Macaca fascicularis: one gene and its partners. The protein of the gene in region 2 purifies or fractionates together with the protein of the main gene of each other region. This does not show direct contact. Links are inferred from orthologs where the notes say so. Each region holds a gene or a part of one and is shown on either strand. Other genes may lie near its edges. The genes, in order: ZC3H4, CSNK2A2, PRMT1, PHRF1, EIF3A, SAP30BP and ZC3H18.

Region 1 (4,350 bases), on a different chromosome or scaffold from region 2:
TCGGTTTGTGCTTCAGACATTTTTTGCAGGATACTGTAGAGTTTGGAGATTTCTTCCTCCCATAACTGATTTTACATACTAAGGATCACCACTCCATGGCAGTTGTGAACATATTAAGAGGAAGAAAACAAGTGGCCTACTGAATTGCAGTTTCCTCATCTACATGTGCGTGACCTTTTTTCCTTTTAAGAAGGAAAAAAAGGAAACGGCTCTTTTGGAGAGGGCCAGGGTTCTCTCTCAAAGTATGTCAGGGATCAAAAGTGGGAAAGAGGGAAAATGCAACTTCAACGTGTTTTGTCTTTTAACGGAACTTATGCTTGTAAAACACATCAGAAGTACGGTGTTTGGTTCTGCAAGTCATTTCTGTTTCTGTTTTTTCCTTGTTACGTGTAGGCCGGGGGGACTGGGGGCTGGAGGAGGTGTTCCCTCCAACATGACTGGGCGTGTAACACGTTTGCATCAACTTTTCACAGTCAGACATGTGCTTTCGAACAAAGGAGCAGTGGAGACGGGCAGAGATGGGGGCTTGACACAGTTTACAGATTTTGTGCTTCAACAGTACTTTACAAATGACTTGCTCAATTTTAACGTCCATCACCACAAGAGACATTGGAGTAAAATGAGAAAATTGGAGCTACTTGAACCAATCTTTTCTGGGGGGCAGGGAGGGAGGGAAACCATTAACTTGAATACATGTATCATAAATCAAATTCAGTAAGCTTGTCTCCTACAAATGGACTTGAAGTATCCACTCTTTTCAGAGATGAAGGCTGGAGACAAAGCAATGGATTGAAATGGAAAGAGGGATGCCAAGAGTCCGAAAACATACGGGCCTTTTATATCGATTTTTGTCATGTTACAGTAACACACTTTTTTTTTTTTTTTGGAGAAAACTGTGTACGTAAAATTTTAAAAATTAAACATTGAAAGGATGTGCAAGTCTAAAAGGGCTCAACAGGGTTAGAATCCTGATTCGAACATATCAACTCACTCTCTCAAGCATCACTTTGGTCTAAAGGCGAGGAGGAAGGCAGGCAGGAAAGGGAGAAAAAGAGGGAGATCATTGAATTACTCAATAAAAGAGGCTACTTACCATCCCAACCCATTGTAAGACATACACTTCTGACATAAGAGAACTCCTTAGAGGTCGAATAAAGCGTGTAAGCACCTTTGAGTAATGCACCTGCCCCCGGAGAGGGGGCCCGGAAGCCCAACAAGGGCTTTGCGAACAGACCTTTGCTAATCTGTTTATTTCCTTGGAGTCGGGCTGCGATGGGCTGCGATTCCCAGGACGATACATTTAATTAGAACAAAACAGAAAAAAACAAATGTTGTAAAAAGCTCACCAAACTGCTGCACTTGTGTCTCTGAATGTGGGTGGCATTTCTTTTAAAAGGCAAAGTATGGTCTGTGAAGGAGAAAGGGGAAAGGGGAGGTGGGAGTAGGGAGAAGGGGCCGTAGACCCTAGCAGGGGAAGCCCTGGCTGAGACCCCCGGCCAAGGGAGGGTCCTCAGCGGCTCCCCAGCCAGGGCTGCGGCGGGGTAGCCATCTGTCCAGCGCGTTCTTTTCCCCTCTCCACCCCCACTCCAAGACTCGCTTTCCTGCCGGCTGAAACCCACCGTCCGTGTCCAAATCTACTCTCCAGCCGCCTCTTCTGCCCCACCAGGAAACAGTGGGCGAACCCTGCACCCCAACTCCTTCTGCTCGAGCAGGGGAAGGAAACGGGGCCCCAACCTCGCCCTGAAACGCGCCGGGCTGACCCCATTATCACCCGCCAGCCAGAGAAGGGCGTGGGGGGGGGGGGCGCCGCGTTTCGCACTTAATAAAGGGAAGGGGGCGCTTCCTTTAACGCCCTGCCAAAGCACAAGGAAATCTCCTTTTCTCTCTCCCGGAAGAGACGGTGCCCCATTTTACCCCGACAGAGGGGGGAACCCCACGAGAAAGCGCGGGACCAACTTCCTCTCCCTACAAGGCAGGGAAACCAAACCTTACCCCCACAAAACAAGGCTGCTAGTCTTCCCTCACGTCACCTACCTACGAAAAGCGAGAGAACCCCTGCCCTTTAACAAAAACACGGGTAAGAATCTTCTCTAAATAAATAGGCAGGGGTTTTCATCAAAAGGGCTGGAGATGCATCTCCCCCACTCCCCAATTCGGCCTTCTAGGGAATAGCTACAAAACACCTCCCGCCAAAAAATAAAAGTGCTATAAAGCACCCACCCAAATGACCCCCCATTACAAGGATGGAGAAGGGACTGCAATGAACCCCCACTTTCTGCCTCCTAAGCTAAGGTACCTATCATCCAAGTAGGGTAGGGTGTGCCTCCCCCAGGAGAAAGGATACTGCCGGGGGCTGGGAGACCCCCAACCCCAAACCCCTAAGAGCGGGGCTGTTGCTCGAGATCCCCCCAAAAAGGGTCCGGAGCCCCTCCCCCATCCCCTTCCCCGAAGCCAGGCGACGAGCAGGCGGGCCCGTGGCTGCCAGCTCCGGGCGTAGGGGCAGCCAAGGACCCCCGTAAGCCTCCGCAGCACCCCCCCCGGCGCCCCCTCCCCAGGGCGGGCGGGCGGGCGCGGGGGGTCCGAGGGGCGCCTCCTCACCTTCCCCTCAGCATGGCGCCCAAAAAAGACAGAGCGAGAGCGAGGGAGAGCGGGCGAACGCCGCGAGGGGGGGGAAACGCATGAGGCCAGGAGAGAAAGCAAGCGAGAAAGAGCGAGCGAGCAAGCGATCGAGAGACACCCACCGACCCCGCCCTTCCTCCTCCTCCTCCTCCTCCGCGGCCCGGCCCAACATGGCGGCCGCCCCCCTTCCTCCTCCTCCTCTTCCTCCCCCCGGGGACGCAGCCCCGGCCCGGCCGGGGGCCTGACCTGTCGTCAGGGAGCGGGAGGCGGTGGTGGAGGAGGTGCGGGGTGGCCGGGCGGGCGTCGGGGGAACACGGAGGAGGCGAAGGCGTTGATGGCGGCGGCGGCGATGGCGACGGCGGCGACTCTGATGGCGGCGGCGGGGGGGTCCCGGGCGCGGCCTCCATAGTTCCTTTGGGGGGGAGGGGATGTTAATGCACGAAAAAGGACTGCTTGGGCGTGGCGGGAGGGGCACACTTAAGCTCGGAGGGCTCCTGATGGGAATGGGGTATATATTTTTTCGGTTTCGGAATCACCTCTGCGCTGACCTCCGCGTAGGCCGCGCGGCCTAGGCCTCGGAGGGCCGCTCGCCGCCTGCTTTCTCCGCAGCCCACCCCTGCGGTCACTCGCTTACTGGCGCGGGGCCCTCATAGGGGCGAGAGCCCCCCCCCCACGCACCCCCGCGGGCCCGGGGGCGGGAGACCCGGGAGACTCGGACACTGGTGGGTGGTTGGGTGTAATTAGCGCGGGCCGCGCGCGATGGAGCAAGCGAAGGGTAAGGGGAGAAGAGGAGAGCCAGCGAAGGGGGTGGAAGGGTTAAAAAGAAAAAAAGGATTGAAGGGAGAGAGGGAACGGGCCGCGGAGACGGGCCGACTGTCTCCCTTGTCTGCCCGCCACTGGTCTCCCGGCTGCCCGGCCCCCGCCGCAATCAGGAATTGACACAAAATGGCGGCTCGGCCCGGACCAGCCTAGAGGCTGAGGCGGGAGGAAGGGTGAGGTGGGAGGGGGAACTGAGAGGCGGAGGCGGAGGCCGCGTCACGTGCGGGAGAGGGGTAGAGACCGCTTGCCTGAGGGCCGGCGGAAAGAACCGAAGGCAAAGGGTGAGTCCGAGGGGAGGCGGAAATAGCCGAAAAGAGCTGAGCAGGAGACAGGAGGCGACGGGGGAGAGCCGAAAAGAGCCGAAGCTGGTGATGGGGTGGGGCTAGAGAGAGCATGAGAAACCTAGGGGAGCCAGAAATAGCCTAAGCCGATTGGGACCGGGGAAGGAGGAGAAATTGAGATGGTCCGGAAAGAGCCGAAGGCGGTGTCTGGGTGGGTGGCAGGAGGTGGAAACAGCCGAAAGAAAAGCAGCCAGGGTAATGCGATTAAGAGAATGAGCTGAACGGGCGGGGCTGGAGCGGCGATTAATTAAGAGAATAAACGACTTTCAGGAATTCGCCCGAGAGCAAGAGGGAAGAACCGAAAATTGCTAGTTTGAAGGAAGGCGGGAAGAGCCGATAGTTTTAGGTGGGAGGATGGGAGGGAAGGAATTCAAGCTACGGAGAGAAAAAAAAAAAATAACCGAAAGCTGGAGGCCAGGTGCCGAGAGTCGGAGGTTTCCGGAGAAGCGATGAAGCCCAGCCAGCCCGGAGGTGACGTCACTCGACAACTCAGTCGATGACGTCATCCTTGCAGGAGAGAGGGGCGGGGCTTGGTAGTCCATCAGGGGAGTTTAAGGACCTGGGGTGTAGG
Region 2 (4,393 bases):
CCTCGCTTATTTCTTAGATTTGAAGCAGCTTATTAAAAACTTATGCTTATATATATAAAGCTAATGTATGGCTTTTTAAGGTAATTTCCCTGTGACTTAAAAAAAAAAAAAACCTTGTGACTTCATAAATGCAATACATATTTAGGGAAGAGAGGAGTCACACTCAGTATCTTCAACATCAATTCCTCACTTCTCATCCCCAGTGTGTCTGAGAACACAAGTAACTGTCTATTTCTCTTTACTGCAATTCTGCTTCTTCATCACTAGGCTAGGATGTTTTGAGTGATGGAGTTAATCATTTTTTCTGAAAGATTACGAGAAAGCATAAGCCTGACCCCTCACATTAAACAGTGATTACCTACACAGCTGCTCTAACACACAGAAACAGCTTTTCAATTCCACATTCTTAGTCCACAGAACCTCTGCAAAAGGGCCACACTGGAAATCACATGTATGCAAAGTGCTTACGTCACTCTTCCGTCTTCTCAATCTCTCACTAAATGACATGTAACCACATGAAATGATCTGGCAATAACGAAGACCCATCACAGATTCTAAGAACTACTTTTTACTATAGCCTATAAAACATTATTAAAGCTATACAATTAATGTTACCAGAAGGAAAATTTAGCCAACCCTTCATGCTCATTAAAATCATCTTCATGGAAGAGATAACAAAAGACATATCATTATCAAACTGATTGCTAAACCATATATTAAAATCGTTTTGTTCCAATTATTGCTTTAGTAATAATACGTGAATTCTTCTACATTTTTACTAGCTGATAAGCAACAATGGCTCTCTGGCTTCCCAACAAGGCTTCTCAGCACTACTGGCGCACTATATCCATCCCACCTGAAACTTTACTGCCAAAGGAAAAAAAAAAAGCAAGTGATTATCTGCTAAGGAATTTCCTTCCACTTGGGTTTGACATACATTTCTGAAGTCGCTCCAATTTTTTCCAACTTTCTTTCTGGAACAACGGAGAGCATGCACCAAGACTAACAAACACAGTGCTCAGGGAGCCCTTAAATTGAGAATGGCTTTCCTGTCTTTTGAATACCTATTTATTTTCTAACAAATGGAGCCCTTTAGGAATTTTTGCTTTAGGCAATTTACTTTTTAGAACAAACACCTTCCTGAACTTAGATTTGAACTAAGATCTGTGACCAGTCTGCACATTTTCTTGAAAGTTCACAGGAAAATGGGGTGGAAAAAGAAGTAATGAAGGGACATCAGATAAATAAAATCTGAGCGCGGGCTGGGCACAGCGGCTTATGCCTGTAAACCCAGCAATTTTAGGAGGCCTGCAAGGAGTCCTTTTGGAGGACTGCTTGAGCTCAGGAGTTTAAGACCAGCCTGGGCAACTTGACCAGACCCTGACTCTACAAAAAAATTTTAAAAATAACTGGGCGTGGTGGCATGCACCTGTAGTCTCAGCTACTTGGGTGAGATGGGAGGATCACTTGAGCTCAGGAGTTGAAGGCTGCAGTGAACTATGATCTGCACTCCAGCCTGGGTGACAGAGTGAGACTGACTCTAAATAAATAAATTAAATTAAATTCAAGTTTGCATTGCCCATTCTAGAACGTGACTGGGGTAGCTTACAACCTTCTGCCCTGTGGGGGGGAAAAATGTTACATACCACTCATAGGACACTCACCTTGAGGATTTTTACAACCACTCTCTCATTGTTGGTGATGTTAATGGCCTCAAATACTTCACTATATTTTCCCCGACCAAGTTTTCGAACCAGTTGGTAATCATCTTGATTACTGTAAAAGGAAGACACACACATAAATGCCAGGACTGGGGGTTAATCTAAGCAAGCCTATGCTCACTGTATACGTCATTCAGCCGCTTCCAACAGGCAAACACTTGGAAGTGTCTATACATCACGTCACAACTCATTCCCTAAATGAAAGCCACGACGTAATCTTGGCTCCCTTCACTCTGCAGAGCTCCTAACCTAATTGGTCTCTCCTAACTTGGAAAGATGGGGCAGGAAGGCAACGCTCTGAGCCAATCCAGAGGGCTGAGCAAAGCACCCGTCCTGAAGGCCTAGAGGGTGCCCCCTGTGCCCCGCGGCTCCCCAGCACCTGCTTCCCGTTTCACACCCTGAGGGTAGACAGTGCCTGTTTTAAAAAACTGGACGTCTTTAAGAAATTTCCTCCCACCACCTCATCTCAGAAAACCGAAAAGGCAGGGAATTTTAATAGCTCCAAAGGACAGCTGTTGACTTCCCACCCCAGTGGAAACCCAGAAGCGTGAGGAAGGGCTACTCCCTCACTTTTACCCGGCGTCGATCCCTGGACCCCACACTTCTCCCCGAGTAAAAAAGCATTCCTTGGGGGAAAGAGGTGCGCAAAGCGGGGAGAAAGGGACAAGGGGAGGGAAGAGGAAGACGAGGACATGTGCGAGAGCTGGACCTCTGCCTCCCTGCGGGCCCGCGGAGGGGTCGGCGGGAGACACCACCGGGCCCGAGTGCGGTTCGCAGGGGGTGGCCGGGCGGGGGCAGGGGTCAGCGGGCCCGGCGGGGGGCGGCGGCGGCTTTACCCCCAGCTCGGGACGTGAGCCTCGTAGTCCCAGTACTCGCGGCTCCTCAGGCTGTTCACCTCGGCGTAGACCCGGGCCCTGCTGCCCGCGGCCGGGCCGGGCATGGCGGGCGGGACCGGGGGGCGGCGCGGGGCGCAGAGGGTGGCGGCGGCGACGCGGCGGGGGGCGCGGGGCGGCGGGCGGAGGGGGCAGCGGGCCGCCGGGCGCTGGAGGAGGAGGAGGAGGAGCGCGGCGGCGGGCGGCCGCGCCAGGCCGGGCCCGCGGGGGCGGGCGGGCTGGGGGCGCGGGGGGCGCCGGCCGAGCCGGCCCGGCCCTGGAGCGGCCGGCGGGGCGGCGGGGCGGGCGGCGCTCGCGATCCGCGGCGGTCTCCGCTCGGCTCGCGGCCCCCAGGAGGCGGCGGCAGTGGCGGCGGCGGCACCGGCAGTGGCAGCCACCGGCCGGGAAAGGGGCAGCGGCCGCGGCAGCGGAGAAGAAGGAGGAGAGGAGGAGGAGGCGGAGGAAACCCGGAAAAGGGGCCGCGCTCGCTGGGAGCGGCCGCCGCCCGGCCTGGGGCCGCCCAGGCTCACAGCGCCCCCTGGAGCGCGGGGGGACCCGCCGGGCGGTGCCGGCCCCGCCCCGGCCCCGCCCCGGCACGCCCCGCCGCCTACCTCGCGCCCTCCCGCACCGTCCCGCACCCTCGCCCTCCCGTCGCCCCAGGTCGGACGGTCCAAATCGCCTCACCCTCGGGCTGGCCTGACTTCACGCCACAGGAGCCCCCCTTCCACTGGCCGTTGCCCTAGAGCCCTCGCCCGCGTGTCTCGACCCTTTCACTGTCCTTGGAGACCCTACCCCTAGCCCTGCACTCACCCAGCTTTTACCCACCCGACACCTCCCATACTGACCCTATTCTGACCCTCCTGTCACCCAAACTGTCAAGTCCCTCCCCAGGGCCTCGGTCAAACCTCAGAACCTCTCCCACCTCAATACTTCTCCCTTTCCCGGAGACATACCCCTCCTTCCCCCTCTGGACCCTGCCCTGTTAGGGTAGACTCCTCAGTCCCCAAAGCTTCCCACCCCCGTCATTCAGAGTCCTCACAAAACCTTTCCACGCTTCCCCCAAATGCCCTTCCAGAGCCTTCCCTGAATATCCACTTTGGTCACTTGGTTAAGCTGGTGTCGGCCAGGTTGTGCCACTGCAAAGTTACAATTTTTCCCTTTGTGATTAATTAGTTATTTGTGGGGAGAGACTTTGAGTGTGTAAATCTCCTGTTTGTGTTTAGGAGGAGGGAGAGCAGAATTGCAAATCCGACCTGAAGGGACAGCAGGGGTTGGGGATGCACCAGGGTAGGTGGTCAACTGAACTGGCCTGGCTTCCAGTGTTGCTTGCAGCCCTGAACACCCTTCTCCTTGGACCTTCTAGGCCCTTCCTTTGTCTTCCTTTCCCATCCTGCATCCTTTATCGACAGGACCTCTGCACCCAGTGCAGGTTGCTCTCATTCCAATCCCTTTTCACAGTCTGTTTTCTAGATGAAATCCTGGGCCTTCCTCCTTGACACAGCTAAGAGCACAGACTGTGGAGTCAGATCTATCCAGCACTGCTACTTAGAAGCTGTGTGACCTTAGGACAATTACTCAACCTCTCTGTGTCACAGATTCTACAGCACAAAACCAGTAATAGCACTCACTTCACAGGGCTGCAAGGAGAATTAAACAAGGTAAAGCATGTGAAACATGTAGGATGGTGTTCAATATTAAGATACTATGTGTACAATATGATTATTCCCAGACCCAGGGCCTTTCTCTGATCATGCCTCCCTCCCTGAGACCACCACGCATCCATCTTTTGGTTCCTTCCAT
Region 3 (3,772 bases), on a different chromosome or scaffold from region 2:
TGCCCAGACCCTCTCTCCCAGAAGACCCCCCAGCTCCCCTGGAAACCCCCTGATCTCAGGTGATGGCAGCTCCTACCAGGTGCTCAGGAGGAAAAAGGGGGGAGTGGAAAACAAAAAGCTGCCTTTCTCCTCCTCTCATGCCTCCCACCTGGGCTAGCAAACCCTGTGCGCTCTACCGGGGCCGCCTCTTGCCCTGGAGCTCACCCACGCCAACACCTGTCTGCCCTGCTCCCAGCCTGACAGAGGTCACCTCCCACTGGCATCACCATGTCACTGATCCCCTTGTGTAGACTGGAAGCACCAGGAGGACAGGGCTTTGGCCTGGGTCCCCAGGCCCATCTTCCAGTAAATGCTAAGAAATCTGCTGTGTAGACAGGCGTGGGGCTGAGGGGCTCAGGGACCCGGGAACAGGCAGAGGCACTCGCCCCTGCCAGCTGCCCCCATCCGCCCCAGCTACCCCCATCCCCTACGCTGCCACCATTCCCCCCTACCACTGCCCCTATCCATGCTCCCCACCCCGGCTGCCACCCTCCTGCCCAGCTGCCCAGAGCCTCACGTTGTTCTTGGCATTGGGCCGCATGCCGATGGTGCCGAAGATCTCCTCGCCCGTCTTCACGGTCAGGTAGTCCTCCATGTAGAACACTGTCTGCTTCCAGTGCGTGTACGGGGACTCAGGGCCTGGGGGCGCAGGCGGGTCAGCTGGCCTTGGCCTGCTGCCCTGGCCCCAGTCTTGTGTTCCCTCTGTTGGAATGTCCACCCCCCTGACAGCTGACGGGACTGCTGTCCGTGAGTCACCTCCCTGTCATTCAGCTTTGGAGACAGGGACCGTGTCAGGCTTTTGTGGATGAGGAAACTGAGGCACTGCACACTCAGATCACTTGCTCAAGGCCACGTGACTGCTACATGGCAGAGCTCACGCTGGAACACACATGTCCCCATGGCTCCCTCTGCCCGTTTCTGTCACCCCCTCCACTATGTGGGTGCCCCTCGGCCCTGGCTCAGGAGCAGCCCCCAGCCCTGCGGGCCCCGCCTCACTGGTGGAGAAGCCCGTCCTCTTGTGGCAGCGCGTGAACTCGATGTTGAAGTAGGCCACCAGGGCGTGCACGTAGTCATTCCGCTTCACTTGCAGGCAGAACGGGGAGGTGAACGTCAGGTCTTCCACCTTGACGGTGTAGATGTCCACCTCCTGCAGGACAGGAGAGGGTGAGCTCCGGGATGTGTCCCCACCTCGCTTCATCCCCTCCTCCCTCCCTCAAGCTCCCAGAGGGCCTGTGACCTCACTGTCCCCTTCCCGCTGGCCCTCCCTTACTGGCACCCAGCCTCAGCTCCTCATTCACTCCTCATCCTGACTGTCCGGCTCCCAATAAACCGCCTCGGTTTGAGCCCAGATTCTTTGCTCCCTTCTCTCCCGCACCCAAACCTGGCGCCGCCACCCTAACTCTGTCCAGAGCCCACCCCGCCCCGACCCCACCTGGCCAGACCTCCTGGGAATGCAGGCACCCTGCTCCCCCCTCTCCGCGCTCCCCCCTCTCCGCGCTCCCCGCTCTCCGCGCTCTCCGGGCCGCGCTCCCCCTCTCCGCACTCCACCCTCTCCGCGCTCCCCCCTCTCCGCGCTCCCCCCTCTCCGCGCTCCCCACTCTCCCCAACCCTTCACAAGTCCACCAGCATGATGGCTTCAAACGGCAATCCAACCGAAAACCCTGCACCAGTTCCGCTGGTTCTCAGGAGGGTGGCCTGGGTGGGGTCCCTGCCCCTCCAGTCTCCTCTCCATTCCCACTCAACAGCTTCCTCCTCCCCACAGGAACCCCCGGCCAACCACCCAGCTTCACCCGGCTCACACATCCCAGCTCAACAAATACTCGTTGCCTTATTTTTTTTTTTTTAAACAGGGTCGGCCGGGCGCGGTGGCTCAAGCCTGTAATCCCAGCACTTTGGGAGGCCGAGACGGGCGGATCACAAGGTCAGGAGATCGAGACCATCCTGGCTAACACAGTGAAACCCCGTCTCTACTAAAAAATGCAAAAAAAAAAAAAAAAAAAAACTAGCCAGGCGGGTTGGCGGGAGTCTGTAGTCCCAGCTACTCGGGAGGCTGAGGTAGGAGAATGGCATAAACCCGGGAGGCGGAGCTTGCAGTGAGCTGAGATCCGGCCACTGCGCTCCAGCCTGGGCGACAGAGCAAGACTCCGTCTCAAAAAAAAAAGAAAAAATAAATAAATAAATAAACAGGGTCTCAGAAGTTAAAAAAAGTTAAAAACAAAACAAAACACTGTCACCAAGGCTGGAGTGCAGGGATGTGATCACAGCTCACTGCAGCCTTGAACTCCCAGGCCCAAGAGATCCTCCCGCCTCAGCCTCCTGAGTAGCTGCAACCACAGGCACATCTCGGATCCCAGCCTGGCCCCCTGCTCTTCTGCAGCGTGTGCACCCGCTCATCGCCCCAGGTCCTGCCTTCCCGTGTACGGGCTGTGGGCTTTAGCTACCAGCTGCGGGTGTGTCCTCTGCCGGACACCAAGTGCCAAACGTGGTTCTCACACGGCAGCGCTCACAAAGATGTTTAAAGGATGAAACGTCTTTCCTGGGCCCCTAGCACCACCTCTGGCTGGCAGGTCAGGCTCTGAGACCTCAGGCCAACACTCTGGGCCCCAAAGTCCCATGCCAGGGCCAGGTGATGGCCTCTCTTTGGTTTCAACCCAGGGGGCACCTGGCCATGCCCACCCCCCCCCCTCACCTTTATGAGGCAGGCATTGGTGACCAGCTGTTTGGGGTCCACCACATCCACTAGGGGCTCCTTGATGGCCACATCTTTGATGCAAGACATGTCGAAGCCATACACGTTCTCCCACCCTGGGGAGGCAGGCAGGGAGGGGGTGAGCCCGCGGCAGCCCACCCGGGGCCCCGCCCGCCCGCTCCTGGGCCACGCTCACAGTGGATCTTGTAGTCTTTGTACTGCCGGTCCTCGATGGCCGTCACATACAGCGTGGCCCGGTCTGGGAAGATGAGGCCATCGGGCGCCTGCAGAGGGGCAGGGCGAGGCATGAAGGGTGGGGCCTGGCAACGCTGCCCTGACTCTTGCCCCCGAGATGTGACCTTCTGCCCTGGTCTGAGCCACCCTCATGTCGCAGCGGCACTCACCCCTCACCCCCTGGTCTATTTCCCACACGGCCGCCAGAGGGCACCCAGGGGCACCTCAGTCAGCTCCTGTCCCTCGAGGTTCTGGGGATCCTCAGACCCTCCCTGGCTGCTCTGAGAGGAAAAGCAAAGTCGCGCGGGGTCCCATAAGGCCCCACAAAATCTGCACATGCCCTGTCACCCCTTACCTCCACTGCTCCTCCTGCTGCCCTTCTAGACCCTCCTTCCACACGGGCCTCCCTGCTGCTCCACATGCAGCAAGGGAACACCTGCCCTGGCCACCCCTCCACATCTTCATCCAGCTCTCGGTCACCTCACCTCTCCCGGGGCGGCCTGCTGGGGCCGGAGAACCTGGTCTAGTGCCCTGCTATAGTTTTCCTGTTCCTACAAACCCCCCCACATCGCACCATCTCCCACCAGGGTCTGTCACACCTGGCTCGGGCTGTGGCCTTCTAACACCTTGCAGCCACACCCCCATAGTAAGTCCCGTCTGTGGGAAAAATTGAGTGCTTTTGGCCCCCAGCCCATGCGAGCTGCACCCGTCTGCTGGGGCCTCACCAGCCACTTGTCCCGGGCGTAGAGCACGGTGTTGAGCATGGACTCGTAGAAGAGGCAGTAGCCCATCCACTCGCTGATGATGATG
Region 4 (3,772 bases), on a different chromosome or scaffold from region 2:
CCCTAGTGTTCGCTGTTGCTGATGAAGCCTTCACATGGCATTTACAGAGCCCTCGTAGATGCCATCCCCGTCTCTCTGTTCATCTTTTTCTTTGTTACTGGATTCAGAGTGAAGCCACCACTCGCTCTCGAATTGCGCGGACGCTGGGCCTTCGCAGGCCTGTTCACAGCAGCTGCATCCCATCAGTGTTGAAGCCAGTGGAGCCCTCCTTGGGGCTGCTGAGAGCGGATATTGGAGCTGCATCTCTGTCTCTGTTTGGAGACCCCTATGAGCTGGACCCCTTCGACAGGTGACCGAACTGGTGATGGTCCTGCCTGGGCACCCGCTCCTCTCTCTGGGGGCTGTGGGCATGGTACCCGAGGTGCATGTGGAGGCGTTAGGTTTTGTGTTTGTGAGTGAGGGTGACCATTCCTCCACCACCACACTCAGTGCAGGTGGGCAGCGTGGAACTTAGAGGTCTGGTGCGGGGCCCGAATCACACGTGCCGCCACGTGGCCAGTGCTCGGCCATCCTCGTCCGTGCCGTCTCCCTGGGCTGCGGGTTCTGGGAGCTGGGAGTCACCCGTTCCCTTTGGCCTGTGTTCTCCCCTCTAGCAGTGAAGAACTTTCTGCAAACCCTCTTTCCCCTCTGAGTGCCAAGAGACGGGCTCTGTCCCGGTCAGCCCTGCAGTCCCACCAGCCCGTGGCCAGGCCCGTCTCCATGGGGCTTTCCAGGTGTGTGAGAGCAAAGGCTTCTGGGGAGGTGAGGGCAGCAGTGGGGCAGCGGATGGGGGTTCCAGGGTGGCCCTGGGTGGCCTCAGCACCCCCCCTCAGCTGTCACGCTTATCAGTCGGCTCTTGGCGTGAGGCAGTGCTGCAGCCTGTCGTGAGTCAGAGGCCACGGCCTGCCCGTGAGCGTGGACTGGAGTTGCTGCAGCTCCACGAGGTTGGCCCCTCTGTCCCCCACCCTGGCTTGAGAGCCACCAGCACAGGGACACCACCTCGGGCAGGAGCAGTGGCTCTGGTGAATAAGGCTGTTATCAGAGGTCACCTTTTGGCCAGTTCTTTTGTTTCGCCACAAGAACAAAAAAAAAATTGACCAAAACCAACAGAACAGGTAAAGATGCTTGTCTGCCCCTCCCGCCCGTTGGTGGAGTTGGGGGTGGCAAAGGCACCAGAGGTGACTTCTCCCAAAAACACCTGGTTTCCCTGGAGCCAGAGCTGGAGGGTGGGGCTCCCTCCCTCCCTCTGGGAGGCCCTGGTGGGCACCTCTTAGAACAGCAGCCGGAGCCAGGACTGTGGGGGAGGCGCAGGCCCCGCCCAGCCCCACTCTTCCCGGCTCCTGCCTGCTGCAGGGCTCTGCCTGGGTGCCGGTCCTCAGGCTGTGGGAGGCAGTGATGGCAGGGCCTTGGGTCTGTGCCCACAGGAGGCATCTCCCTGCTGCGGTGCCAGAGCCAGACTTGGAGGAGGAGCCAGTGCCTGACCTGCTGGGCAGTATCCTATCGGGCCAGAGCCTCCTGATGCTGGGCAGCAGTGACATCATCATCCACCGTGATGGCTCCCTCAGCGCCAAGAGGGCGGGTGAGCACCTCCGTGCCACAGCTGCCTTCCTCTGTGGGCTGCTGGTCCTCAGGCTATTCCCAGCACTCAGCCCATGTCTCAGTCACAGAAGATGTAATTGAAGTTGGGGGACTATTCCTCAGCCATTTTTCTCCATTGATTTCCCTTCTTGAGCAGTTTCCCAGTTAGCTCTGAGTTCTTACCGAGCCCCACAGCTTCAGAGTGCGGCCCCTAGTACCTGGTTAAGAACATGTCGGCCGGGCGCGGTGGCTCACGCCTGTAATCCCAGCACTTTGGGAGGCCGAGACGGGCGGATCACGAGGTCAGGAGATCGAGACCATCCTGGCTAACACGGTGAAACCCTGTCTCTACTAAAAAATACAAAAAACTAGCCGGGCGAGGTGGCGGGCGCCTATAGTCCCAGCTACTCGGGAGGCTGAGGCAGGAGAATGGCGTGAACCCGGGAGGCGGAGCTTGCAGTGAGCTGAGATCCGGCCACTGCACTCCAGCCTGGGCGACAGAGCGAGACTCCGTCTCAAAAAAAAAAAAAAGAACATGTCCTGACCGGGCGCGGTGGCTCAAGCCTGTAATCCCAGCACTTTGGGAGGCCGAGACGGGTGGATCACAAGGTCAGGAGATCGAGACCATCCTGGCTAACATGGTGAAACCCCGTCTCTACTAAAAAAAAAAAAAAATACAAAAAACTAGCCGGGCGAGGTGGCGGGCGCCTGTAGTCCCAGTTACTCGGGAGGCTGAGGCGGGAGAATGGCGTGAACCCGGGAGGCGGAGCTTGCAGTGAGCTGAGATCCGGCCACTGCACTCCAGCCTGGGCGACAGAGCGAGACTCCGTCTCAAAAAAAAAAAAAAGAACATGTCCTGACCGGGCGCGGTGGCTCAAGCCTGTAATCCCAGCACTTTGGGAGGCCGAGACGGGTGGATCACAAGGTCAGGAGATCGAGACCATCCTGGCTAACATGGTGAAACCCCGTCTCTACTAAAAAAAAAAAAAAATACAAAAAACTAGCCGGGCGAGGTGGCGGGCGCCTGTAGTCCCAGTTACTCGGGAGGCTGAGGCGGGAGAATGGCGTGAACCCGGGAGGCGGAGCTTGCAGTGAGCTGAGATCCGGCCACTGCACTCCAGCCTGGGCGACAGAGTGAGACTCCGTCTCAAAAAAAAGAAAAAAAGAAAAAAAAAAAAAAAACATGTCCTACTGGGGAACTGCCCCTGCCCCGGTTAATAGCATCCTAATGGCCTCAGGCCCTGTACTTTGTCATCCACAGAGCGGCTGTTGAAGCAGCTCTCCGGGTGTGGAAAGACGAGGTGTCCACCTCAGCAGGCAAACGGGAGTTTAAAGTGCACGACCTCACAGAAAACCAGTTGTGATAAAAGTTAAACCACTGACATTTAAGAAGAGTGGGTGGGAAATGATTGCCATTGACTTTTTTGTTTTTTAGCTCCAGTTTCTTTTCAGCGAAACTCAGGCAGTCGGTCCAGAGGGGAAGAAGGATCTAAGGACTGCCTGCGGCCCCAAGCACTGCCCTCAGGGAGCCCAGCCCAAGGCCCCTCAGGAAACAGGCCACAGAGCACAGGGCTAAGCTGTCAAGGCAGGTCCTGCATCCCCGCCCGCACCTCGGGCGCACCGGTGAGGCCGGACTCGTCAGCAACCCCTGGGTCGGTTCAGGCTCGGAACTTGTCCAATGGGAGCGCACCTGGCTTCAGACAGAGTCCCAGCCCCCGGTTCAACGGCACCAACAAGCACACTTTGCCCCTTGCTTCTGCCGCGTCTGAGATCTCAAGCAGAGATTCGAACCCCCCGTGTCGCCGTGCGGTGCCAGGGCCTCCCCTGAAACCCACGCCCAAAAGAACAGACATCTCTGAGTTGCCCAGGATACCAAAGATCAGGAGAGAGGACGCTGGCGGCAGATGGGGCGCGGCCCCAGCCCACGGGCAGAGCATCGAGATCCCCAGCGCCTGCATCAGCCGGCTGACTGGCAGGGAGGGCGCCGGGCAGCCAGGGCGAGGCACGCGGGCAGAGAGCGAGGCCAGCAGCAGGGTCCCCCGGGAGCCCGGCACGCACACAGGCAGCTCCCGGCCCCCAGCCCCCAGCTCCCATGGCAGTATGGCCCCGCTGGGACCATCAAGAGGGAAAGGGGTTGGGTCGACCTTTGAGAGCTTCCGGATCAATATTCCTGGAAACATGGCCCATTCCAGCCAGCTCTCCAGCCCCGGCTTCT
Region 5 (3,772 bases), on a different chromosome or scaffold from region 2:
TAAGAATAGACTCTAAATACCTGTATGTGGATAGAAAGCTCATCCGTTAAACGTGTTTTTGCTAATATTCAAATTTCTCAATTGGGCTTTTAGTGGAATTACTTATCGCCTGAGGTGAGGAGTTCAAGACCAACTACTAAAGTCCAAGAATACTGTTCAGGAAGGGCAACGTCTTGAGACGTCTATAATTGTCACAACTGGGGGTGGTTGCTACTAGCATCTAATGGGGAGAAGCTGGAGATGCTGCTAAACAACCTGCAGTACACAGGACAGCCCCACGACTGAGAATTATCTAACCCAAAATGTCAGCAGTGCAGAGGCTGAGAAACCATGGCCTAGAATATACCATGTCATATAACAGGTATTTGTTACAAAATTTCAACATTATCCAAGTATAACATTCTTACCTTTGCATCTCATCTTGTGTAAGATTCTTTCTCATTTCTCTAGAGAGATGGTAAAGACGATGGAGTGTAGATGCATGAAAAAGAGCATTTCCAGATTTCCAAAACACAGTTGAGACTTTGTTATAGTAATTTGCCATCAACTGAGGTTTAGGTGGTTTTTTAGACAAGGAGAATAGCCCATGAATATCTTCCACAGCTTTGAATGCTTCCTAAAATTAGTAGTACAAATTAAAGTCATTGCATTCTATAACATGAAAAAAATCTAATTCAAATTTCTATGAAACCTACAACACAGAAAACATAAAAATAGCAAATAAAATACCTTTGTGTGGTTCTCTTTACTCATGTATAATATCTATTTTAGAAAACTGCCACAATTACAAAAACACTAACTCCTTAAACTTTTTAAAAGTTCTTTAGGAAATATTGGAAAGTAGACAGAGCAGACTCAAGAAAATATCGGCATATTATCCCATCACTTGGGACAATATAAAGAAAAAAATCTAGAAAGACATACAACAGGTTATTTCTGAGTGATAAGATAATGGATGAATATGTCTCTTCTTTTAATTTATGCATTTTTTTCTATAATGGAGCATGTTTACTCATCTTCTACAGGTAGTATTTTAAGATGGGTGTCCCTATAGAAAAGGAAACATGGGCAAGAACAAGACATCGAATCACACTTTCACTGGGCTCAAAGACTCCCAATCTTTAGTTTCTTCCTCTATAATTTCAATCAAATATTGTCCATCAAATATACAAAAGACTTCAAGGTCACATGACTACAAAATTATATAGAATGTTTTTGGAGGATTCTTAGAGAAAAAGGGCCAGGTGAGGACTAACTTCCTACCACCACCAAGATCTCCAATGCAAGACAGTCAGCTAAAGCACTACTAAGAAATCTAGAATAATCTACAGCAGCGCTTCTCCAACAATTAGTAAAGGATTCTTTTTTTTTTTCTAACCTCTTACCGAAGAATATAAAATACAAAATTACCACAAAAATGAAACAGAAAAAGTTCACTTTTTATCAGAGTAAACACACAAAAAATTTACAATAAAATTGCAACTAAGAAACTTTGCATATGCTTCTCTATGCTATACTTATTTCATCACAGACCAGACAGTTCACAAATGACACCAGTCATGAAACCACACTTCGAGCAGCAGTGGCAATGTCTTGTTTTGTACATCAAGAAACTTGCGTCTGAAAGAGATTATACGGTTTGGTCCACAATTCATAGAAGGCAACTAGAAACAAAATATTCTGAGATTTCTTGTTCAGAACTTTTCCCAGCCCATCAGGCAACTTTAATTCCTTACCTTATCTACTGAAATTAACCAATGCATACCAAGATGAAGCTATTCATTAAGGGGGGAGAAAAATAACACAGACTATTATTTCTAGAAAGAAAAGCTAATAGGTCCAACATACCTGCCACAATTCCATGCTGATAGCACTGTCCAACTGAACAAGTCTGGTTTCCAAATGCATGGACTGGCTCTCTGGATTATTAAGATTGATTGCCGTACTTTGGTTATGGTGGCGCTGAATCTGCGATAAGTGCATTCTCAAATTGTCACACAGTTTACGGAATTCAGCCTTACGCGTGTATTGGAGGCAGAATTTGAAAGCTATAAGCATAATTGTAAAATATATTAGGTATCTTCCACTATCTATTTAAATATTTGACTAGGTTTTACTTCACACATTAAAATCAGTTATTTTAACGGGACTCATCAAACTCATCATTAGTCTTTGTGATGCAATGAAAATCAACTTATTTCATCTAGACTATCTTTTGAGTGAACCCTAACAAAACCAAAAACATAATCATCGGTCCTTGCCTAGAACTAAAATGTGGTGCTGGCAGAGTTTACAAACGGGAAACTAAAATTTAGATCTAAGAGTCACCTTTCAAAGACCCACCACTTTAAATCCTAAGAGTAAAAATAATCTAGTCTGAAATATAATGAACTTTGATATCTAACTTACATGGAAAGCAACAAGGTTCTGTACTAATTAAAACTACATAATACAAATTGAGGGCTTATAGTAACCTAATTTCAACTGATTACAGATGGATGAACTATTTGTTCCCTGTCATTTAAATGGACACGTTAATTTTTTTACTGTCACATATGCGATACTGGATTATTTTTTAGATTTCCTTTCCCCTTAAAAACAGTATGTCTATTTTAACAGACCTAAAACAGAGATCCAGTTTAACTTCAAGTTAATATTTGTATCAACAGCCGCCAAAAAGTCCAAATTTACTTGTGTTAAAGTGAAAATTCAGGCTGGGCAGAGCTGTAATCTCAGCACTTTGGGAGGCCAAAGCAAGAGGATCACTTGAGTCCAGAAGTCTGAGACCAGCCTGGGCAACAATGCAAAATCCCAGTTCTTTTTTAAAAAATAAAAATAAATTTTAAAAAAACCCAAAGTAGAGGATTCAAGTTTACTAAAAAAAAAAAGGAAAAGTTTATTTTTTCAGTCACATGGAGAATTCCAAAAGGACTTTAAAATGTCTTTCATTGTTACTGATATTTGTGTAAAAAGAAAAAAAATTTTTCAGGTATCAATAAAATACAATTCACACAAAACTCCTTTAACGAGCAAAACAAATCCCTTAGTCATTTTGGTTTTGTTTTTTGTTTTTTTTTTTGTTTTTTGTTTTTTTTTTTGAGACGGAGTCTTGCTGTTACCAAGGCTAGAGTGCAGCGGTGCCATCCTGGCTCACCGCAACCTCCGCCTCCTGGGTTTAAGCAATCCTCCCACCTCAGCCTCCTGAGTAGCTGGGATTACCACAATGCCCGGCTAAATTTTTTGTATTTTTAGTAGAGAAGGGGTTTCACCATGTTGGCCAGGCCGCTCTTGAACTCCTGACCTCAAGTGATCTACCCACCTTGACCTCCCAAAGTGCTGGGATTACAGGTGTGAGCCACCACATCCGGCCGCAGTCATTTAATATCATGTGAATGCCAACATTTCAATAAGGATAAAAACTAGTTCATTTTAAGCACTTTTCAGAAAATTTACTCCTCAATTTCAAAGCACTTCACTCAGATTTGATCTTCTCATCTTACCTTGCTGGGCAATATCATGATAAAGGCGCTCTACTCTAGAATTGTTTCTAAGAAGGTCCAAACACTGCCTGTAAGACTCCCACAGGAATTTAACCCATGGAGTTAAAAGTAATCTGTCAGTACGATCCTGAGTGTCTTCACCACTTACAGCACTTAGGAGAACACTACAAAGACAGAAAAAAATGTTGAAAACAATTTTAGACAGTTTCCTACTTTGCCATGTGATTAAAAACCAAAACCAACAATGTTCATCGGAAAACAGTGCAAATTCT
Region 6 (3,772 bases), on a different chromosome or scaffold from region 2:
GGAGGAGGGATGAAAGGCTACCTAATGCCTCATAGTAGGAGTCCTCAGACCAGCCATGGGGATCAAACATATCCTGCAAAGGAAAAGGCGAAAGTTGCAGTTAGTAGGAACCGTCATATGACAAATGACTCAGAAACCCAAGTTCCTTGCCTGAGTCTTTCCACAGAGCTTCCTGGTCTGGGGTCCCCTTACCTGGGGCTCGGCTGTCATCCCTGGTCTCTAGCCAAGGGGCAGCTGGCAAGTGCTGAAGAACACGGGAGCATGAAGCCCCCATCCAGTGACCCCCAGGAGCAGCAGGTCCACACATGTCCCCACCAGTCAGGGGCCAGACACCAGGTCGGCCACTGGAATCTCTTTATTGGACTATTTCAGAACAATAGGGACTCAAACACAAGACATGGGGACTGTGCTTTCAACTAGCGGTGCCACTACATGGACCCTTCTGTGGCTGCAGGTCAAACCCCATGGAACAAGCACAGGACCCCGGGTGTCCCCATCACCCTCCAGCTCCGTGTGCCAGATGTACCTTTGGGTAGTTGGTGCCAAGCTCGTCAATGGCACAGAACTGGATCAGCTTCTCGTAGATGCTGAAAAAACAGCACAGGCGTTGAGCAGGCACAAGTCCACGTCCCTGCCTGGGGCCTGAACCATCCAGCTCCTGGGGCTGACACAAAACCTTCAAAACCTTTAAATCCAGCTCAGCTGCTCTAAGCAAGCTTCCTGATGGCCCTACACCCTCCCAGGGAGATGGACCTGTTAACTAAGGGCCGGGAGGAGCATGGGGTCAAGGTGATGGCTGAGTTTTGTCCCACTGACCTTCAGTCTGCATGGTTGGGTTGGGCTCACCACACTCAGGCCCACACAAGGGCCATGCTCTTTCCCCCGTAAGTCACTAGCTTGAGCATTAAATGGAATAAGACCAGACATAGCTCTGGTCCTAAGACCTCTCACCTATATGCAAAAATCAGCTTTTTAGAGTTGAAAGATGAACCTATAGTAATTGTCTAGTCCAATTCCTTCCATGAGGACAGGGGTCTTGAGAGGTCATGTGCTTTAGGCTCAGAGCAGGGACGAGAACTCAGCCAGGTCTCCCTCATCCCCGTCTAGGTCTCGGTATGGACTGCTTTGTGTTTTGTCAGGATCTTAAATGGCAAGCCTCTGGCTGGGTTAGCATAGTCTGCCGTGTCCAGCAGGCACTCAGTGTAATGACAAGTCTGGGTGATGGTTTGGGCTCAGGGCTTTTCCTCACCACCTCCTTGGGGACGTCCTTAATCCAACATTAATAACTCAATAAACTCTGCAGGTTCAAGAGAAACTTACCTGGGGTTCCGAAATTCTTTCTTTCTTTGGATAATGTAGTTCATATCCATTCCCTCCTTTATTTTTCGTTCATAAAGCTTCTGGATCTTGTCCTATGGAAGAGGAGCAGAGGGGTGTATGACAGAAGCCCACCTCTCCACCATCCCAGCCCCTGGTCACCAGCTACGTGTGCAGCATGAACGTGAGGCTCCAGAGCCACGCAAAGCCCAACTTGACCTCATGTTAAAATTTAACCTATTCTTGGCCGGGCGCGGTGGCTCATGCCCGTAATCCCAGCACTTTGAGAGGCCAAGGCGGGTGGATCACGAGGTCAGGAGATCGAGAACATCCTGGCTAACACGGTGAAACCCCATCTCTACTAAAAACACAGAAAATTAGCCAGGCATGGTGGCAGGCACCTGTAGTCCCAGCTACTTGGGAGGCTGAGGCGGGAGAATGGCGTGAACCCAGAAGGCGGAGAATTTAACCTATTCTCAGCCGGGCGCAGTGGCTCACGCCTGTAATCCCAGCACTTTGGGAGGCTAAGGTGGGTGGATCACAAGGTCTAGAGATTGAGACCATCCTGGCCAACATGAAACCTCGTCTCTACTAAAAACACAAACAACATTAGCTGGGTGTGGTGGGGCACGCCTGTAATCCCAGCTACTTGGGAGGCTGAGGCAGGAGAATCGCTTGAACCTGGGAGGTGGACATTGCAGTGAGCTGAGATCATGCCACTGCACTCCAGCCTGGTAACAGAGTGAGACTCTCTCAAAAACACGAAACAAAAAATTAACCTATTCTCTTTTTCCACCCTACCTTTTGCCCAGAATTGCACACAAGTAACATAAACCAAGACCAGGCTGCTTTCACTGCTGAGGTTTCCTGACACTCTCTGGATGACAATATAGTGAGCAGTGAAAAGATCACAGCAGAGGAGCCACGGAGAAAAAAATGAACAAAGCCCCAATTGGTTAATCAGTTCCAGAATCATCCGAAGCAGGGTGTAGGGTACTGGTGTTGATATGCAGGGAATGAATCCTGGTTTTAAATTTTAACATGAGGTCAAGTCCTCAGCAGAACTGTGAACCACAGGAGACTTCGGAAGGGCTATGGCCTTTTCATGGGAGGCAGGAGTAGTTGTTTGGATTCGGTCTTGCAAGCTTTTTAGATTGTGTCTTTTACAGGGAGGCGCACAGGTGGCTGGTCCGCGCTGGCTTATCGAGGGTATCAAGGGTTAACTGCTTCTCTCTCACCCAAATTCCCCACAGGTCATGCCTGGCTCTCAGTGGGAGAGTGGAGAACCACCACGGGGGATGCAGGCTGACCTACTGCGGCCAGTGCCACAGGCGTCCTCAGGAAGGGGGTCCTCCCCAGCCCATGGACATGATGCCCAAAGTAGATGGCATCAGCATGGCCCAGTGCCAATGAAGAGGGCCAAGACACCAGAGCCACCTCTGGTAAGAGCAGTCTCAGCCAGGAAGGCGGGCACTGGTCCAGGGCAAGATCTACCTGCAGCCTCCCCCTGCAGTGGGGCTTAAACAGAGATTCTCCAGAAGGGAAACACCTGAGGCACTGTGCCAGCAAAGCGGGCGGGCAGGCCTGGAGGGCCCAGGTGACAGCGTTTAGGACATGTCAGGAGGGGTGATCCACTCCCCTTATTAGAGGCCAAATCTTTCTACCGAGACTGGCCAGAGCAAGAGCTGAACCGCAGAGGGAGGTCTGTGATATAATCGCCGAGACTGAAGAACTTCTGTCCTCCAAGCTATCTCCTCCAGGGTCATGGAGGGAGCCATATATAGAAGGCTCAGCAACTTGAGGAGAACCCATGTCATACAGATGACTTGGCTGCGTCTCCTGGGCCGTAAGATCAGTTCTACCACCCCAGATGAACTAAAATGTTTGCTCAAATGCCATGGTTTCCACCATCAGGAGGGTCTAAAGAGGAGGCACATTTGGCACTGCAGGCAGTGCGCCAGCTGTCTCTGCCTGGCGGGTTGCTGGAGTTGTCCTTACAGGCTGGAGCTTGCTGTCTGGTTGTCTGGCATGGAGGGTGACGTGATTCTGGAGGGTGGTGGTGGGGAGACGACTCAGCTATGGGAGGAGACTTCCGGGAAGGGAAGATAATCTGCCCTGCACCCCCAGTTCTGACTCTGGCCCTCCCCCAGCGTGCTGCATTCCTTAGCCTCAGGTCCCATTAGTCATCCATCCGTTAGGGTGGTGTCACAGGCTTGCTGTGCAGCCAGAGGCCCCCAGTGGAAGCTCCAGGATCAAAGGTGAAGCAGGTGGCCCAGGAGCCATGATTGTGCAGCCTTGGGTGCCTGTTCTATTGTTCATCACAAGGGAACCCACAGAGGGACAAGGAGAGCCACGGGCTGAACCCCAGATGTCCCCCCCGTGAGTGTAACTGCACAAAAGCTTCGACTCCTTGGGATTTGAAAACCTCCTGTCAGTGCTGCATTCTGTCAAGCAA
Region 7 (3,882 bases), about 30 Mb from region 2:
GATGCAGGTCATGCGGGGAGCAGAAGTGCGCGTTGCTGCCTCCCTGGGGCTCCACTCGCAGCCCCGGGGGAGGGAGCTCTCTCTTGGGGGTCTCATCCCAAACCTCGTGTCAGGAAGCAGATGAGGGACACGGGTGGGCCACAGGCGTGGGCCCCACACTGCGGCTCCTTGCATCTGATTAAAGGAGGTGCTGGAGGCCCTGGAGCGTGTACCTGGGAGGCCTCTGCCCAGGTGCAGGCCTGTGGCTTTCAAGGTGGAGAGCAGAGAGCGACAGTGGGGGCTCCTGGGGGGCTCTGCTGGTGGCCCCTGCTGTGGAACGTGGCATCACACATGGGGCCTGGCTCAGCAGGTCTGGGGCCTGCACACGGAGCCGGTGGTGGTCACTGCAGAGGTGGCAGCTGGGCTCAGGGCTGGGAGTCAGCCCCGGACCTCTTCCCCTCCAGCAGCTCCATAGCCCCTGCTCGGGAAGGTACCTCCATCTCATGAACCAAGGAACGCCCAACCCAGCCCCACAAATGGAGAAACTGAGGTGCAGTGCTTCCCTGAGCTGGGGTCTGAAGGCAGGAGCTGCTCCATGGCCGGTCCTCCCAGGGGGAGTGAGCGCGCAGCCACACCCTTGCCCCCCAGCAGCTCCCGAGTGCTGGGCCAAGTGCAGTGCACCACACAGAGGCAGACGGGGCTGTGCTTGGGCAGAGGGCGCACACACCACAAGGGCAAGAACAGCTGCTTATCAAAATATTTTATTTTAGGAGACCCCTCAAAAAAGACCCTCCACATTAGACAGACGCCCCAACAATACCCTTGGCCTTTTTTTTTTTGGTCTTTTCTGTATTTTTTCCTGTTTAAATCAACTAAAACAATTTGATGCTTAAAATAAAAGACAGGAAGTATTTCCTGATGAGACTTTAGTCGAGAATATAGATATATTTCTGATCCGGGGGCGGGTGATCGGGGGCGGGGAGGAGAAGGAGGTGCCACCAGTGGTTCTCGAGGTTCCATTTCTCAGCTCAGGAGGGATCCTGGCTGCCTGGACCCGGGCTGGGGACGCAGAGCTGGGGCTCCACAGGCCCAGGCCTGACCAGGGCCAGGAAAGAAGACGGTGGAGGAGGAAAAGAAGGCGGGGCTGGCGGCTGGGGCTTGTAATTTACATGAGAACTGTGCTGGTCACTCGCGCTGTCTGTGTCTGTCCTGTGGGACTTCTGCTCTGGGGAGGGAGGCTGGGACTCAGCGTCGTCGTCATCTCCTGTGTGGCTTCTTTTCCAGCTGAGAAACTTTTTTTTCTTTTTTACTTTTTAAAAAGAATCACAGCCAAAATAAGACATTAACTGCAAAATCCAAAATGGCTGCGCTTACCCTATGTATAAAAATGCGTCCAGTCCGGTCAGGGGCATGGCCTATGCTTTCCCGGGGATCTTGGCCCGCTTGCGCGCAATAGCGTCCTCCACGGCCTTCAGCTGTTTCAGCAGCTCCTCCCGCCGCGACAGCGTGCTGGCCTTCCCTGATTTGGTGCTGGCGGCGCCGGGATCCGAGGCTTTGCCGGGCACGCTCGTGACCTTGCTGGAGCTCTTGGACTGTGGTGACAGCTGGCGCTTCCTACAAGGGGGTGGGGAAGACCTTGAGCCCCCAGAAGCCACGTCTGAGGTGGAAGCAGCAGTGCGGTGCCCTCCCTGAAGGGGAACTTCCACTGAGTGCTCAGTGGCCACCAGGAGAGGCAAGGGGCTCCCGGGATGGCCAGGGTCCCATTGCCACAAGCAGGCCTGGTCCTAGCCACTGGCTGCCGGGCTTTGTGGAGTAGAGACTGGGAGGGTCCTGGGCTGGCCCCACACAACCTGCTCTTCTTCCCACCTCCGTGCCCAGAGCTCTTTGCCCAAGGACATGGGGAGCAGAGGGCAGCCTCCAGCCTCGACCAGGGCAGGAGTGTGTGTGCGGGAGTGGGGTTGCCCTTCCCTGTCCCTGTCCCTCACCACATCAGCCCAGCAGGAGCTACAGGAGCTGGAGCACCTCCAACCTGGCCCAGTGCTAGCCCTGCTGCTGCTGGCCTCCCTGGGAAAGAGGCTCAGGCTAGCCACCCTCGGTGTGCCCAGGGCACATGCTGGGTCCACTCACCTGTCAGCCGGGGCTGCAGGGGCTTTGGAGTTCTGGCCTCTCTGTCGCTCTGGCTTCGGGGAGCCCAGTCTCCCACCTGACTTCCGGTCCCGAGAACCTGGGTGATAGGTACAGAGTGAGACCACCCTCCTGGCTTACAGGGGATGGCAGTGTGGGTGGCCTCACCAACACCAGGGACTCACTTCTAAAGCCTGAGGCTGCTTAGTTCACCTCCTTCATTTTTATAAAGAAATAAAAAGGGAAGAGCCAAGTAGAAGAGAAGAGACATGTGGACACCAAGGCATCCGGAAATGAGGCTGAGGCCAAACCTGGGCTCCAGGTGCCACCAAGCAGCCAGTATCTTGCGCAGAGAGACAAAACTCCTTCCTAGCTTTGAAGAAATTTATCACATGGGGCTTCAAATACAGAACAACAAAAAAGACATGGCAGTAAAGACATACAAGCAAAGCCGAGAGATCACGAGTGTCACTCTGGCAATGTTAGGAGGGAGGCGCGGCAGCCTAGGCAGGGTCCACTGCCCGGCGCAGGCCCAAGGCTCATGCGTGAACAAAGGTCTGCAGACCCCAGTGGCCCTGGTTCCAACCCCAGGCAAGGACAGCGAGGCTGTTCCAGACTAACCACACAGGACACTGCCCTGGGCTTAGGGACAAAGGTGAGCAGCTTCCTCTTCCTACGCCCGACAAACTCAGAGAACTACTCAGGAAGGAGTCTGAAGCCCCCTGCCTGTTCTCTGTGTCTGGGAGTGGCTGTGCGGGTGGCCAGGCCCCCTTGTCCTCTGGTTTAAGTTCCACCCATCAAAGCCAGCCAGGACAACCTCCCTGTCTTTCCATCTGGGCCCCAGCTCTTGGGGTGTGGTCAGGACGGCTGGGGGTCCCCGAGGCCCTTTCAGGTCTATGTGGCTCAGCAGTAACACAGACACCGTCTGCCCTGTCACTCAGTTCACAAGAACCCAGGAGGGTCTCCAGAGGGCACGAGGCACGTGGGTCCAGCTGTCTTCTGTCAGTCAGACTGAAGAGATTTGCAAAAATGGAAAAACCAATGCCATTCCTGCTCATTTGTTTTGGAAAATATAATTATATTTTGCAAAAATGACACGTGTAAGAAAAATACAGGCCGGGCGCGGTGGCTCAAGCCTGTAATCCCAGCACTTTGGGAGGCCGAGACGGGCGGATCACGAGGTCAGGAGATCAAGACCATCTTGGCTAACATGGTGAAACCCCGTCTCTACTAAAAAATACAAAAAACTAGCCGGGCGAGGTGGCGGGCGCCTGTAGTCCCAGCTACTCGGGAGGCTGAGGCAGGAGGATGGCGTGAACCCGGGAGGCGGAGCTTGCAGTGAGCCGAGATCCGGCCACTGCACTCCAGCCTGGACGACAGAGCAAGACTCCGTCTCAAAAAAAAAAAAAGAAAAAAAAAAAAGAAAAATACAGTTGCTCTTGTTGCCCAAGCTGGAGTGCAATGGCGCAATCTCAGCTCACTACAACCTCCGCCTCCCGGGTTCAAGCAATTCTCCTGCCTCAGCCTCCTGAGTAGCTGGGACTACAGATGTGTGCCACTATGCCCAACTAATTTTTTGTAGTTTTAGTAGCAACGTGGTTTCACCATGTTAGCCAGGCTGGTCTCGAACTCCTGACCTCAGATGATCTGCACACCTTGGCCTCCCAAAGTGCTGAGATTACAGGTGTGAGCCACCATGCCCGGCCTATTACTGTTATATTTATTTATTTATTTATTTTTGAGACAGAGTCTTGCTCTGTGGCCAGACTGGAGTGCAGT

Evidence for each region.
Region 1: the proteins of CSNK2A2 (region 2) and ZC3H4 purify together in Homo sapiens (affinity purification with mass spectrometry; 3 studies listed by BioGRID and IntAct, with this or other methods). This does not show direct contact. The link is inferred for Macaca fascicularis from reciprocal best matches to the Homo sapiens genes CSNK2A2 and ZC3H4.
Region 3: the proteins of CSNK2A2 (region 2) and PRMT1 purify together in Homo sapiens (affinity purification with mass spectrometry; 3 studies listed by BioGRID and IntAct, with this or other methods). This does not show direct contact. The link is inferred for Macaca fascicularis from reciprocal best matches to the Homo sapiens genes CSNK2A2 and PRMT1.
Region 4: the proteins of CSNK2A2 (region 2) and PHRF1 purify together in Homo sapiens (affinity purification with mass spectrometry; 3 studies listed by BioGRID and IntAct, counting the BioPlex papers as one, with this or other methods). This does not show direct contact. The link is inferred for Macaca fascicularis from reciprocal best matches to the Homo sapiens genes CSNK2A2 and PHRF1.
Region 5: the proteins of CSNK2A2 (region 2) and EIF3A purify together in Homo sapiens (affinity purification with mass spectrometry; 3 studies listed by BioGRID and IntAct, with this or other methods). This does not show direct contact. The link is inferred for Macaca fascicularis from reciprocal best matches to the Homo sapiens genes CSNK2A2 and EIF3A.
Region 6: the proteins of CSNK2A2 (region 2) and SAP30BP purify together in Homo sapiens (affinity purification with mass spectrometry; 3 studies listed by BioGRID and IntAct, with this or other methods). This does not show direct contact. The link is inferred for Macaca fascicularis from reciprocal best matches to the Homo sapiens genes CSNK2A2 and SAP30BP.
Region 7: the proteins of CSNK2A2 (region 2) and ZC3H18 purify together in Homo sapiens (affinity purification with mass spectrometry; 3 studies listed by BioGRID and IntAct, with this or other methods). This does not show direct contact. The link is inferred for Macaca fascicularis from reciprocal best matches to the Homo sapiens genes CSNK2A2 and ZC3H18.

The regions. Positions count from the first base shown.
Region 1 is NC_088393.1:55,111,815-55,116,164, forward strand, and holds the start of ZC3H4 (zinc finger CCCH domain-containing protein 4), read right to left. Parts: upstream 3,042-4,350; 5' UTR 3,027-3,041; coding exon 2,599-3,026; intron 1,994-2,598; exon of another isoform or gene 1,766-1,993; coding exon of another isoform or gene 1,620-1,765; intron 1,409-1,619; exon of another isoform or gene 1,385-1,408; coding exon of another isoform or gene 1,347-1,384; intron 1,281-1,346; exon of another isoform or gene 1,117-1,280; coding exon of another isoform or gene 1,094-1,116; intron 1-1,093. UniProt on the Homo sapiens protein: RNA-binding protein that suppresses transcription of long non-coding RNAs (lncRNAs). LncRNAs are defined as transcripts more than 200 nucleotides that are not translated into protein.
Region 2 is NC_088394.1:54,293,213-54,297,605, forward strand, and holds the start of CSNK2A2 (casein kinase II subunit alpha'), read right to left. Parts: upstream 3,041-4,393; 5' UTR 2,662-3,040; coding exon 2,558-2,661; intron 1,777-2,557; coding exon 1,665-1,776; intron 1-1,664.
Region 3 is NC_088393.1:57,657,510-57,661,281, reverse strand, and holds part of PRMT1 (protein arginine N-methyltransferase 1), read right to left. Parts: coding exon 3,688-3,772; intron 3,013-3,687; coding exon 2,925-3,012; intron 2,845-2,924; coding exon 2,729-2,844; intron 1,187-2,728; coding exon 1,036-1,186; intron 679-1,035; coding exon 557-678; intron 1-556. UniProt on the Homo sapiens protein: Arginine methyltransferase that methylates (mono and asymmetric dimethylation) the guanidino nitrogens of arginyl residues present in proteins such as ESR1, histone H2, H3 and H4, FMR1, ILF3, HNRNPA1, HNRNPD, NFATC2IP, SUPT5H, TAF15, EWS, HABP4, SERBP1, RBM15, FOXO1, CHTOP, MAP3K5/ASK1, MICU1 and NPRL2.
Region 4 is NC_088388.1:505,416-509,187, forward strand, and holds part of PHRF1 (PHD and RING finger domain-containing protein 1), read left to right. Parts: intron 1-107; coding exon 108-289; intron 290-593; coding exon 594-713; intron 714-1,403; coding exon 1,404-1,558; intron 1,559-2,992; coding exon 2,993-3,772.
Region 5 is NC_088383.1:128,077,426-128,081,197, forward strand, and holds part of EIF3A (eukaryotic translation initiation factor 3 subunit A), read right to left. Parts: intron 3,665-3,772; coding exon 3,501-3,664; intron 2,049-3,500; coding exon 1,849-2,048; intron 617-1,848; coding exon 408-616; intron 1-407. UniProt on the Homo sapiens protein: RNA-binding component of the eukaryotic translation initiation factor 3 (eIF-3) complex, which is required for several steps in the initiation of protein synthesis.
Region 6 is NC_088390.1:82,105,480-82,109,251, reverse strand, and holds part of SAP30BP (SAP30-binding protein), read right to left. Parts: intron 1,413-3,772; coding exon 1,321-1,412; intron 588-1,320; coding exon 527-587; intron 74-526; coding exon 22-73; intron 1-21. UniProt on the Homo sapiens protein: Plays a role in transcriptional repression by promoting histone deacetylase activity, leading to deacetylation of histone H3.
Region 7 is NC_088394.1:84,536,799-84,540,680, reverse strand, and holds the end of ZC3H18 (zinc finger CCCH domain-containing protein 18), read right to left. Parts: intron 2,204-3,882; coding exon 2,107-2,203; intron 1,594-2,106; coding exon 1,395-1,593; 3' UTR 725-1,394; downstream 1-724.